Astyanax mexicanus: one gene and its partner. Each later gene encodes a partner of the first gene's protein in a complex. Links are inferred from orthologs where the notes say so. Each region holds a gene or a part of one and is shown on either strand. Other genes may lie near its edges.

What was found. The genes of interacting proteins can lie anywhere in the genome.
Region 2: drc1 (region 1) and iqcg share a complex: the UniProt entries of both Homo sapiens proteins name them as parts of the nexin-dynein regulatory complex. The link is inferred for Astyanax mexicanus from reciprocal best matches to the Homo sapiens genes DRC1 and DRC9.

Annotation. Positions count from the first base shown.
Region 1 is NC_064408.1:51,791,825-51,799,053, reverse strand, and holds the start of drc1 (dynein regulatory complex protein 1), read left to right. Parts: upstream 1-4,208; 5' UTR 4,209-4,358; coding exon 4,359-4,471; intron 4,472-4,582; coding exon 4,583-4,670; intron 4,671-5,207; coding exon 5,208-5,320; intron 5,321-5,414; coding exon 5,415-5,598; intron 5,599-6,269; coding exon 6,270-6,407; intron 6,408-6,753; coding exon 6,754-6,840; intron 6,841-6,960; coding exon 6,961-7,083; intron 7,084-7,229. UniProt on the Homo sapiens protein: Component of the nexin-dynein regulatory complex (N-DRC) a key regulator of ciliary/flagellar motility which maintains the alignment and integrity of the distal axoneme and regulates microtubule sliding in motile axonemes.
Region 2 is NC_064416.1:10,718,159-10,725,270, forward strand, and holds the start of iqcg (dynein regulatory complex protein 9), read right to left. Parts: upstream 3,024-7,112; 5' UTR 2,928-3,023; coding exon 2,799-2,927; intron 1,831-2,798; coding exon 1,628-1,830; intron 594-1,627; coding exon 456-593; intron 1-455. UniProt on the Homo sapiens protein: Component of the nexin-dynein regulatory complex (N-DRC), a key regulator of ciliary/flagellar motility which maintains the alignment and integrity of the distal axoneme and regulates microtubule sliding in motile axonemes.

The sequences.
Region 1 (7,229 bases):
CATACTGCACTTCCTAATATGCAATTTTTAATTAGCAATACACAGAAGACACTCTCCAGTGGTTTTTATTTTCCAAATTACACACGCAAACACACACACATGGCTGAAGTCCATTCCATCTTTTGAAATTGTTGTTGTTTTTTTGTACAGTAGTCACAGTCTGACATGAGCAGGGTAATGCTTTACATCTAGCAAATGTTTCTGAAGTAAAATTCAGCATAAATCAGTGCACTGTCATGATCTGGACTGATCTACTACAGCAGGGGTATTTAATTAGGATTCAGTTTGGTCCAGTTACGCCAGGCTGAGGTCCGGACCGTCGCCATTTTTAACTTGTGTTATGATTTAGTATTGTATACTGTATACTGAAGAAGCCTAGTACTTCTGTCAGTGTTTTATGTCATCAACAACTGAAAGACAAAACAAATTACACATACTAGTATATTTCAACAATATGTATTGTTTTAAATAGACCTGTCACAATAATTACATTATCACCCTATCATAAAATTAATGGAAACACCCTAAATTTATCGAGAATGTGAATCTGTATGTTAACTTTGTTTAAAAATGCTATATTTATTCAATTTGATTGTATTTATATTAGATTTAGGCCTGCCTGTCATTATAATTACGTGAATGGCAAATCATACAATATATGAAGAAATGTTTGCTGAACTTGGCCAAAATATCAGCTTAAAAAAAAACAGTAGTTTTATTTTATTTAATATTATTACTGTATCAGACTTAATTATGTTGTGGGTAAAACTGATGGGGGAAGTTGCCAATGCTTTTTGTACCCTGGGCGTTGCCGTAGTTTTGAGGTAGGGTTGTTTTGGGAGTAGAGAGAGCGCGCCTGCGAGCGAGGGAGTTTTTTTCTTTCTGAGGAGTTCTGATCAGGTGGAGTAAAGTGGAATATTTTGGACTCTTGTCTCGGTTGTTTCTCTTTAATTCCTCCAAGTAACACCGCTCTATTACATTACTGCTAATATGTTTTATAAAGGTAGTATCTTAATGTATTTTTCTGGTGCGCACCATCTGTATTCTCATCTTTTCTCGCTTTATTCTCCCACTTCTCACCGCCTGCTTCGCCTGTGTGGCTCCGCGCGCTCATATCTGCACAGATCTGATTGGTACGGTGGCCGAGAAAGCCCAACGCAGTGCAAATGGAAAAGCGCTGCAAAAGCACAAAACACATCCATCAAAATTACAACACAGGCGCAGCAACTAGAAAAACGCGCAGCAACTAGAAAAACGCGCTGCAACTAGAAAAACGCGCTGCAACTAGAAAAACGCGCTGCAACTAGAAAAACGCGCTGCAAATAGAAAAACGCGCTGCAAATAGAACCACAACACAACGGAAGTGAGTCACAACACAAGGGAATATTCCCGGGGGACCTGTACCAGGTACTGTACCAGCTAAGCTGCGTCTTCAGTAATGTCTCGGACTTCACTATGTGTACAAAGGACAATAAGTGGCAAACAAGGCGTTTTGTGAAGCAGAACTTTTAATAAACATAACTTACTTTTCAGAAGCTTGTTTGCCACTTATTGTCCTTTGTATACAGCTGGTACAGCATCTTTTAAGGTCCCCCGGGAAAATTCCGTTGTGTTGTGACTCACTTCCGTTGTGTTGTGGTTCTATTTGCAGCGCGTTTTTCTTTTTGCAGCGCGTTTTTCTATTTGCAGCGCGTTTTTCTATTTGCTGCGCCTGTGTTGTAATTTTGATGGATGTGTTTTGTGCTTTTGCAGCGCTTTTCAATTTGCACTGCGCTGGGCTTTCTCGGCCACCGTAGCATAGGATTGGCAAAGGAGAGCGTTTTTTACAGCACACGTGATTGGTCAGTAAATTTACTGCGCTGTAAAGCACGTAAACCATAAAGACCATAGGCGTAGGAACGGGGGACATGTCCCACCCAATATCAGAAACAGGTGGATTTGTCCTCCCCCAAACATTATACCGCAGAACAATGGCGTCGCCAGGAGCGAATCGTTTCTCTCAGCTCAGCTGTGTTTTTAATGAGTAGACAGAATGCTGTGTAAATGGAAAATCTCTTAGCGCTAATCACGGAGCCGCCGGTTCAGAAAGAAAGTCACTCCTCTTAAGAGAAACAGCCAATCAGCTCGCTGGTTTTGCGAAGCGCGGAGGATTGCTGTGGAGGATTTGTAATGTTTTCTTTTTAAGGGGTGCAGCGGGGCTGACGATAAAACATATCTGGATATACAGCTATTTTTCTAAAAGAAAAGTAACGGATCTAACCATGTAAACTGTGTTGAGATTATTTCTGATAGATGGTTAAAAATAAACGAATCAAAACCCACAGATCATACCCTCTGTGAGCTTGTGATAGTCATTGTGATTTGTAGATTAGGATTGCAGGATTACTGTAAATTTTAATGAAGAACAATTATTTTAGCTAGCTTAACTACTTAGCTAAAAACTGGATTTAGTGGACAGCCAGACTTCAGTACAATACTTTATGTTGGTAGTTTGAAGCAGTTTCTTATCCCTGATCACTGGACTAAAATTGTGTGTTTTCACCAGATCCAGCTCATTAGCTACTAAACTAAAATCTATTATATTATTTTAAACATTAGGTGATACCTCATCAGTTTTTTTTCTCATATATGTATTTAATTCAGACATTGCACGCATATTGTTTTCTAACAACTGTAAATGTAAAGTGGAGTAACATGTTTAGTTTGTAAAGTGACCTTTACTTGGATGTAACTAATAATAAACAGAAGTACAGAAAATAATGGTTTATTTGTTATTAAAGGTAATTCCACAAACGTTGTTCTAAAAGACTATAATAAGACAATAAACGTTCCACCGCTTTAAATAAACGCTGTCAGAATTAAATCCTTCTCAGTAGTTTATCGGTTTGGGTCCGCATTGTACAACGTCTGGGTCCAGACCCGGACCGCAGTCCGCATATATGTGGCCTAGATCATATACGGTTTTGTTTTATAAAACCACTCCTTGCTGCCCTGCAGAGAAACAGGTTCAATGTTCAGTTTTACCGTGTTAAATATTGCAGGTCAAGAAAGACTTCATTTATTTAATATTTTTTTATAAAGCAAGTATTTATGTTAAGTTAAATCAAGAAAGTTAAATCAAGAAAGACCATATTTTATTAAATATATATATATATATATATATATATATATATATATATATATATATATATATATATATTAAGTTAATTCAAGATAAATGGTCTTTTTATTTTTATAAAAAAAAACTTATTTTTTCAGGAAATAGTTCAACTTTAAATGTCTAGAGATACATTGTTGCTGTTAAAAATGCATTTCTATTAAAGGGAGTATTGGCAAAACTGGTTATAATTTTTATGTTAAGGCGGCAGGAGGTGGTGTCTGCAGCTGCTGAAAGTAACTAATAAAGTAACTTCTAAAGTAACTTAGTTACTTTTAAAATCAAGTAATCCATGAAGTAACTAAGTTACTTTTTAAAGGAGTAATCAGTAATCGGGTTACTTTTTCAAAGTAACTATACCATCACTGATTATATGATACGTAGGAACCAAAGAAAAGTATTTACAGAACATAAAAAATAAACGTGAAAGAAATAAAAGAAATAAATACTCAAACAATAACAAACTGTTGTTTATTCAAATATCCATCAGCAGGACTAAAGGCTCTGTTCCTGCAAGGTTAGATATCTATCTATAACACTGCTGAGTTAAATTTACAAACTCTTAACACTTGGTAGTTTTGTTCACCCGTCAAAGCACACTCGATGTAATGTGTGGCATACAGAAATTGAACACTGTCACTTTTAGAGAGTGCATATACGGACATTACACTCGACATTTAGCATGAAACCACCCAATCTGGCAACACTGCGAGCCGGTGTGCGCTGTTAATTTGAGGTGTCTCTCCATGTAGTTAATTAATGAGGATTAATGTTTGTAAACAGTGTAAATATAGCAGAGATTACTCCATGATCAGCTCAGAGCTTCACTTAACTTAATTCAGTTCAGTGAGTTTATGGAGTTTTAAACATGGCTCAACCCCCACCTGTGTGTGTTAATGCTACCGGTGCTGGCGCCTGATAATGAAACTGAGTGTCCGAATTCACTCCTGTGTACCCCTATGTAGTGCGACACTTTTAAGGGAGTAGGGAGCCAGTTTGGTCACAGCCCACAGCCCCCCCTTCACTGAGTTCTCTCTCGCGGGCTCCCTCTAGCGGGCCTCAGTAATGTTTTGATAGAGGGGGGCTCTGACTGTTTCATAGCAACGCGGGTAACAACAGTGAATTCAGCCCAACTCTGTGAAACTCACCTGTCCTCTCCCTCATTTCCTCTTTTCTTCTGCTCCGCTGAGTTACAGGGGAGATGTCACGGGCGGGCCCGGGCGAGCTGAGCCCCGCTGTGGAGTCCGACAGTCCGGAGGAGCGGATAGCGGCGCGCCGCCTCCGGATAGCCGCGCGGACCGAGGCCAGGACCCGGTGAGTCCAGCCTGACCTTCACTGACTCTTCTTAAACTGAATAACCTTAACATAACTAACTGTCTTCTCCAGAGATCTCCTCTCTGATCCTCTCTGAACTGTGTCTGACAGACTGGAGCTCGGGGAAGAGGCTCAGGAGCAGGAGGAGAACACAGAGGAGCCCCGGACCAGCCAGAAACAAGTGGATCAGAGTGAGAAGGTAATTAGATCAGAACAACCTGATGACTAAGAGGTTTATTAACCCTCAGGAGGGTTTTTTTCTGATTATCTGATTATATCTGTTATTACATCAGTTAACCTAGCTGATTCGTGCAGATATCTCCCACACAAAGTTATCTCTCCGTTTTTTTAAGAACACTACGATGTAGCATCATCAAAAAACCACAAGGTGTCCTTCATGTTGCAGAAAACATTATACAGTACACAGCCATATTCAGCCTTATGCAAAAAGCACCTATTTAAATTAAATCTTTTTGGCCTTTTGTAAACGCCAAATGGCAGTATGAAACGTAAAATATTTAATTAAAGTGTTTGAATGGTTAAACTGGTTGGAAGAGACCCGTAAAAGGTGTTTTTTTCTCTTCTTCTTTTTTGTTGCTGAATGTTCAGTTGCAGAGTTCTGACTTAACTTTACAGCACTTGTTTTTTTTTTACTTATCTGGCTTGTCTAGATGTGAATCTCTTATCAAGTGTACAGAACCTTTGTGCTTATTTACATATCTGTAAATCTCTGCAGCGTATGCTTAAACTGCAAACTGATGGCACAGAGTTAGTGACCAACATCTTGGTGGCAGCAGATGCCAGAGAGACAAAGAGGAGAGCACAGCTAGCGGAAGCACGTAGATTAAGGTAAACACTCAAACACACATCCAGAGATGATTCCACATACTCATATAAATGCGTGTCTCATGATAACACATCTTATGTTAATAATACTGCACAGAAATGAAAAGTTGGAGAACGAGGCAAAATCCAGCCTTGAGAAGTTCGAGGAGGTCACTCAAAATTGGCCTGTGGCCAAAGCAAAGGAAATTCCTCAGGATCTGAGAGATGCTCTGAAAAGCCAGCAGCAGCTCTGCATGCTGATCACTGAAGACAAGAATAAACTCATCAATGAACTGCAGCACGTAAGAAAACAAATGCACACACACATAGATATAACCATGTTTTTGAGAACATTTTTTGGATTATACAGTACAATGGGAGTAATACAGAAATGACAGAAATTAGACTAATATTAAGAGAAGGAAAAAAATCTTAGCTACATTGGAATTAGTAAAATAATGCTCTTGTAAAAGACTTTTGTTTGTTTTCTTTTTAAGTTTGTCCTGAAGTTAAGTTTTAAAATGTGCAAATACGTATATATAATGCATTTGGCATATACCATTAAGTGCCTAAGAAAATTCTTACAATCATTATTCTGCACAACAATGTGTTTATGCATTTTTAAAACACAGTGTTACATTAACAATTGTGAGCTTATTAAAAGGACACTGGTTTGCTTCCAGATTTCTTCTCAATGCTATGATTTAAAATTCACCAGCAGCAGCAGTTCACCTGATATAACTTAATAGAGCAGTGATTAATCAAAGTAGGTACTTTACAAGAACTACAAAGAGTGTTATAGTTCACAAAATTCATAAATCCTCAACCTAAAATATTGTGTCTCAAAATGTGACTAGATGTGACAAGAGCATGTTTTAATGTTATGTTTTGTTTCTAAATGTTGTGTTTTTATACCATGGCGTATAACATCACAGATTCAAAAGATATCATAAATACATTTGTGTTTGTGAAGGAACTAAAATCAAGTGATGACCGTTATGTGAAAGAGCTGAAAAAGCAGGCAGAAGACGTGGATCTCATGAGAGAGAAAATGCAAGAGCAGATGACGTCTCTGATGAAGTTGTATAGACAAGAGCTGGATCTGATCGAGGTGTGGTAATACTTTCTGCTGTTGGGAGTTCAGCAACAAGCATATTCATAAGTCAGCATAGTTCATACATCTAGTAGCTTGGTATCCAACAGTAACACAGGAATCTACAGGAATCACTTGATATATTAATTCTTTCAATATTTTCTATATTAAAACACACAACACAGTATAGATTTAAAGGTTATGGAAAATACAACACTATGCTATTTTTGTGGTCAGAATGCAGAAAATGTTCTTTTGATACTTATATTTGTGAAGATAATGCCCTACATTATATCATTACACCAAATATGTAGTTATCCAGGACTCTTGGACTCACTTATCTTTTTGCCTGGTGATGTTACAGAATTCATTTGATGATGAACGAAAGACTCTGCTCACAAGCAACTTGAAAAAGTGGGAGCAGCAGAGGAAAGAGCGGAGCGACAGAGAGGTAAAAGGCAAAAAGACTTCAACAGCCATTATTTTACTACACAATGCATACATCAGAGATTCAATAATGCTATTGGTGCTAATATACGTGTCTACCCTCTGATTCTATGTATGAGAGAAGCTGGAGCACCTACTGCAGAGGATTAAACAGAAGGAGGAGAATGAGGTTCTGCTGCATCGACTAAGAGTTGCAAATATAAAGGAGTACAACATGATGAAACTCAATCTAGAGACTCAAAGCGAGGTATACTATATTACGCTTCAACTGTTATAGAGAAGGAAGTTTGATTCATTAAACCCTATGTTTATTATAAAATTTTGTCCTAATGCACAAACTATTTGGAAATGTTAAGTAAAAGTTTGAATTTGCATATTTTATGATGTCCCAGA
Region 2 (7,112 bases), on another chromosome or scaffold:
ATAGAGCTTATATGAGGATAGTAGCGTCTTATTTTGTGTGCATTACAGACAGCAAACAGCATTCATATATTTTTCCATAACTGGAACATAATTCAGGTCTGGGGTTAAGTACAAAGTTAACCGAATTACATTTGCTTTGTTACTGTCCACCACTGAGGGGGCTCTGAGTGGTCCAGCGGGCTAAGCGCTGCCACTATGATCAGGAGGAGATTGCCGGTTTGAATCCTGTTCATGCAGCTTGCCATCAACTACTAGAGCCCTGAGAAAGCACTTTTGCACAATTGGCCTTGCTCTCTCTGGGTGGGTAGATGGCGCTCTTTCCCCCTCATCACTCCTAGGGTGATGTCGATCAGCACAAGGCATCTGTGAGCTGATGTATCAGTTTCGAGTCGCCGTGCTTCAAATATTAAATACTGTCCACCACAGTATTGATAGTTCAGCGTTCATGTTCAGACCTTATGACAGTGTCATGCAGGTGATCTTCACCATCGCTCTTCTTCCTCTCTTCCTCCGTTGCCTGAACCAGGCTGTGAAAAGTGCCACTCTCTTGAATTTCAGCCAGCAGGTCTGAGATCACCTTGGCTACAAACTGCCTGCAAACAGAGTGGGTCATTATTAGGTTCATTATTATATACATCTCCATGTTTCTACACATCTTATCAGCTACACTGAGCAAACAGGAATACTTTGTAGTTCTATAATAAGTATAGACTGTAGTCCTGTATCTGTTTTTCTGCATACTTTATTAGTTTTTGTTGCTATTTAGTGGTGAGAACAGTATTATTTTGGTGGTGGGTTATTATTCTCAGCACTGCAGTGACACTGGCATGTTGCTGGTGTGTTAGTAGTATTTGTTGTGTTGCTGGTACGAGTGGATCAGACACTTTAGCAGTGCTGCTGGAGTTCTTAAACAATGTATTCACTGTACTTCACTCTATTAGACACTCCTCCCTAACTGACACAGTTTGTAGATATAAAATGCACAGTTTGTGTTCATCATTCACTGGTCCTTTACTTCACAGGACACTGATACGCTGCCCACAGGATGTTGCCTACAGGATGCTGCCCACAGGACGCTGCCCACAGGACGCTGCCAGGATGATACCCACAAGACACTTTTTTGGATGTTCTTGGTTGATAGAATGTTCTCTCTCTACCAGTGATGCTAAAATGTTTAAAAACTCCAGCAGCACTGCTGTGTCTAATCCACTTATACCAGAGAAACACACACTATTAACACACAACCACCATATTTTTATTGCATACAATATGATATGGCACATTATGGAAGTCAATGATGCAACATGTCATGATACAAATAATCATTAGCACTCTAAATATCTAGGACTAAAGTAAAATAAAAGATACTGGCCAGATATAATCTGTATGTAGTACATATTTAATGGAAAATAAGAACAATGTGAATTTTCCATTTTTTACAAATTGCAAAAAAAAAAAAAAAAGGAGTATCCTGATCACATCTAAAACTATCACATTTTTATTTATTTTTTTACATTTTAGTGATATTATTACGCACAATACTATGTGTCAAACCCCAATTCACCACCCAAATAAACAATGTCTACATTATTATGGAGGAAGAAGAATCAGATGTAAGTGTCTGTACCTGTCTCTCTCCACTTTGGCCAGATTGTTGTGGGAGGATGAGCTTTCCTCCAGCGTGCGTCTGAGCTGGTTTTGGGACAGATGAAGCTCTTCCACTGCCTCAGAGAGTTCAGAATCATTTACCCGACTCTTACGCACAGTCTTCAGGTGACTCTCAGCGGCCTGGTGCTGTTTAATGATCACGCTGATATGTGCAGCCTCTGCCTGCTCAACAGTACAGCACAGGATGAGTTAGAATGTTCTACAGTTATTGTTATAGGTTATATTTATTTATAGTTAAAGGTTATAGTTATAAATTACAGGTTACAGTTATAGGTTATAGTTATAGGTTATAGTTGACAGTTATAGGGTACAGTTATTTGTTATAGGTTATAGTTATAGGTTAAGGATAAAGTTATAGGTTATAGTCTATAGGTTATAGTCTATAGTTTATTGGTCATGGTTACAGTTTATAGTTATAGATTATAGTTTATAGGTCATGGTTATAGGTTATAGTTATAGGTTATAGTTATAGTTTAAGGTTAAAGTTATAGGATAAAGTTTTAGGATAAAGTTATAGGTTATAGTTTATTGGTCATGGTTATAGGTTATAGTTATAGGTTAAAGTTATTGGTTATGGTTAAAGGTTATAGTTAAATGTTACAGTTATAGGTTACAGTTATAGGTTATAGCTTACAGTTATAGGGTATGTTTATATGTTATAGTTATAGTTTAAGGTTAAAGTTATAGAATAAAGTTATAGGTCATAGGTATAGGTCATGGTTATAGTTTATAGTTATAGGTTAAAGTTATTGGTTATGGTTAAAAGTTATAGGTCGTGCTTATAGTTTATAGTTAAAGGTTATAGTTTATAGTTATAGGTTAAAGTTATTGGTTATGGTTAAAGGTTATAGGTCATGGTTATAGTTTATAGTAAAAGGTTACAGTTATAGGTTATAGTTATAGGTTATAGTTTACAGTTATAGGGTATAGTTATATGTTATAGTTATAGGTTACAGTTATTGGTTACAGTTATAGGTTTATAGGTTATAGTTATATAGGCTATAGTTATATGTTATAGTAATTATGTTTTAAAGTTATAGATTATGGTTATAGGTTATGTTTAGTTATATTTATACTAGAACAGAGCTGTGTTAAGCCCCACTCTGCTCCTCCAACAGCCGGTTACAGACCTCCTCAGCCCCCGGGCGGCTCCTCCGGTTCTTCGGCATGATGTGTCCCAGAATGTCCAGCTGGTCCGCACAGCGCTCCAGAACCGCGCAGACCCGGAGCCGGTCCACTCCCGAAACCCGGCACGACATAATTCTCCCGTTCAGCCACTGACAACACCGAACTCTGCAATCTGCGCGCTTTACGCACGTTACCCCTGGTAACGCGACACACTGTACGCAACTAACGTATCGGCACGCGCAACGTGGTGAGCCTGCGCACTTAGTGCGCTCACCGCTGGAGGAGACCAAAATGAATGGGAGTTCACTAACTAACTTACAAATTATTTACTTACTTACTTTCCCGGGATATTCATTTAATTTTAAGTATAATAAATTATTTTGTTATTTATAAATATAAAAATTGTGATTAATTTCAACACAAAGAAATCACTGTAAAAATTGAATTACATTAAATTACTGTAAACTGCTAGAGGGAGCCCGGGATGACATGTATTTCAACTTGCATTTTTATATTTTAATACACTTATTTAGTGACATAATTCATAAATTTTAATCAGAATTTTTATATTCTGAACGTAAGAGGTGGCCAAATAGGGGCTACTTGTCCGAGATATTCATTTAATATTAGAAACTAGAATCAAATATTTAGATACAAGCAAAATAAACTTACCTGTATGTTTATGCTGTAGAGACGCAAGCATCACGGCTACTGTGAGCTGATTGGTTGGTGAGCTAAAGCTGGAGATGCATACAGGTATGGTTTCTTTCCCTTTTCCTTCTTTTCCTAACAAAATACTCTATTCCACTGACTAAAATTAAACAATAGGTAGTCAGACACTATTTATTCACCACTAGTAAATGTGGGTGAATAGAGTAAAATGGTTATATTCTGAATTTATGAGGTGGCCAAATGTGCTGCTTAAAAATACATTTAAAAGTAACTTAAAAAAGTAGTTCCATACATTTTTAAATGTAAAAATTCAGATTCCTAATTCTGATACATACCTTCTACAAATATATCTACTGAATGTATTTGTATTTCTGAGTTTTGAATTAAATAGATTTGGATTTAAGGATCTGCATGTATCAAATCTGAAAATCGTGAGTTGTTCATTCTTTCAACACCATTTTCTTTTCGTTCAACACTCTTGTCATTTTATTTGAATACATTTAGCACTAATTATTTAAACACGTTTGGTAAGCTTATTGACCTTTAACCTACATACACATGTGAATCTAATTATGAGAAGAGGTAAGGAGTTAATTGCAAGTTTTTCTCCTATTTTCTCATCTTCTCTGAAGAGTGGCATCGTGCACCTCTCAAATGACCTGAGAGGTCACATCTAGATAAAAGTCATTATTGTTATTCTGTATTTTACATTTACGTATTTCATAGTAGTACAGTAGTAATATGTCTTTTTTTTGCACTGTGCTGTTAACTCTCAGTAGTATGGTATACTGACAGTACCTGAGTGTGATTAAGTCAGAACTGCTGCATGTATCTGCTGTAGCAGCAGAGGGCAGCAGGGTATGAGGATGGAAGCACAGAAGAACAGACCGAACTAAACGAGCACAGAGCTGATCATCGATCCATTAAACTCTACTAATCAGTGATCTACCAGATGCACCTGCACACACCTGACACACAGAGACTATATATAAAGCTATAACAATACAAAGATACACTTTACATTTGTACATCTGCACTTCTGGACACTAGCCACACTACTAAATACATATATGTGTATGTGTTTATTCAGAATTCTCATTAACTGCTGATACCTGCTGCTGTTCCACACTGTATATTCATTATTGCACTGCCTTCTTATGTTAGATTATAATGTCTATCTATCTATCTATCTATCTATCTGTCTGTCTGTCTGTCTGTCTGTCTGTCTGTCTGTCTGTCTGTATGTTAATCAATGTGTCTGTATATTTGTCTGCCTATATATCTGTCAGTCAGTCTGTCTGTCTGTCTGTCTATCTGTCTGTCTATCTGTCTAATAATCTGTCTGTCCGTCAATCTATCTATGTTTGTTTATCTGTTGGTTATCTGCCTGTCTTTCTGTTAATGTGTCTGTATATCTGACTATCTATTTGTATATTTGTCTGTCTATATATCTGTAGGTCTCTCTGTCTGTTTATTTTAGTTATATGCCTGTCTGTCTGTCTGTTTGTTGTTCTCTAAACAGCCACGTGGCGGCAGGACCCTGTACATCCTAGCTAGGCACCCTAGTTAGGCATCTCGCGCTGCTGTTGGGACACGGCCCGGCGGGGCCTCGCTCGATGTCTCTCGGTTGGTTTGTTTGAGTCTGGCTGTATGATAAGCGCGGCGCTCCCCCTCCCTCAGCCGAGAGCGAAGCAGCGCAACGGGGAGGACAGAGCACAGAGGCTCCCGTCTGAGAGATGGGCTCCAGCGCCCGCGCGGCCGTACCCGGTATCAGTGAGAGCGCGTCGGGCAGTGCGGGGGAGCGGCTGAGGAGCTGCTGGCAGGGTTAGAGCGCTGTAGCGGAGTTTAGGATGCGGGAAGAGGAGGAGGAGGACACCGCGACGTCTCCGCTCCGGATCTCCAGGACAAGATGGCAGCAGCAGCAGCAGCAGCGCAGACCCGAGAGCACGGAGTGAGGCGGGTTTAAGAGTTTAAAATGTTCGGAGAAGCGTCGGATCTGTCCAGCTCTTCCCCTCCGTGAAGGTGAGGCTTCTCCCGCAGCCGGACCGCCGGCCGCCCCGCAGCCCGGGGAGAGAGAGCCGCTGCCGGAGCGGGTCAGCGGAACACAGTTAGTGGGGTTACAGAGTTACAGCTGGAGCTGCGGGTTAACTAATTTACAGTCTGATTATTTAATCATCTGATCTGATCTGATCTGATTAACAGCTGCAGTCTGATCTACAGCAGATCAGATCAGTCTGATTATCCTGAGTGGGACTCTGTACAGGGATAGTTAGCTAGTTGGCTAATCTAACTTAGCTGCTAACTCTACCCGGGGAGGGAGTAGTTACAGGCTGGGGCTCAGCGATACGGACGCAGTGCTCTATATCGCGATACTGTAACACGATATCTGTTCACGATACTGTAATCATACATTACTGTAATACGATATGGGATCACAATACTGTAACACAGTATCTGTTCACAATATTGAATCGCAATTTCAGATCACGTTCCTGTACTGTAGTCATCACAATACTGTAATCATACTTTACGGTAACAAGCTATTATGATGCAATATCATGTTACAGTAACATTATTTCAGATCACAAAAACTGTACTACAATGCAATGTCTGATCACAATACTGCAACACCAATTCGGATCACAATACAGTAACACAATATCAAATAATCTTACTTTACTGTAACATGATACCAGATCACGATACTGTAATGCAATATCAAATCATCAGACTTTAGTGTAACACTGTCAAATCATCATACTTAAGGGCAACACTATCAAATCATCATACATCACTTTAACGCAATATAAAATCATCAGACTTTAGTGCAATGCTATCAAATCATCATACTTTAGTGCAACGCGATATTGGATCATGGTACTGTAATATGATACCAGATCACGATACTGTAACAAGATATTGCATTAGTGTTATTATGCAACATCATGTTACAGTTTCGTGATCTGGTATCATGTTACAGTATCATGATCCAATATAGCTTTACAGTAAAGTATGATGATTCGATATTGCATTACAGTATCATGAGCTGGTACCATGTTACAGTACCATGATCTGATATAATGTTAGAGTATCGTGTTCCAATATCACGTTACAGTGAAATGTGATGATTCGATGATACCAGATCACAATACTGTACCTCAATGTCAAATCATCATACTTTACTGTAACATTTACCAGATCATGATACTGTAATGCAATATCAAATCATCATACTTTAATTTAACACAATACCAGCTCAGGATACTGTAACATGATACCAGCTCACGATATTGTAATGTATTATCGAATAATCATACTTTACTGTAATGCAATATTAAATCACGATACTGTAACATGGTACCAAATCATGATACCGTAATGCAATATGGATTCATTATACTTTACTTTAACAATTATTATAATTTAACACTTATATTTTGGCGCAGTAACCCTAAGTACAAGGGCTTGTTGTAAAAAAAATGAGTAAAATAGAACAGGATTAAACACGAGCAGTTTGGCAACACTGATGTAATTCAGTATCAGTATCACTCTCAGTGTCAGTTGGGGGTGGGTGTTGGACTGAATGCTTTTATAGGAATATCTTAGTATGAACATCATCAGTAGGGGAGGGCCCTAAAATAATG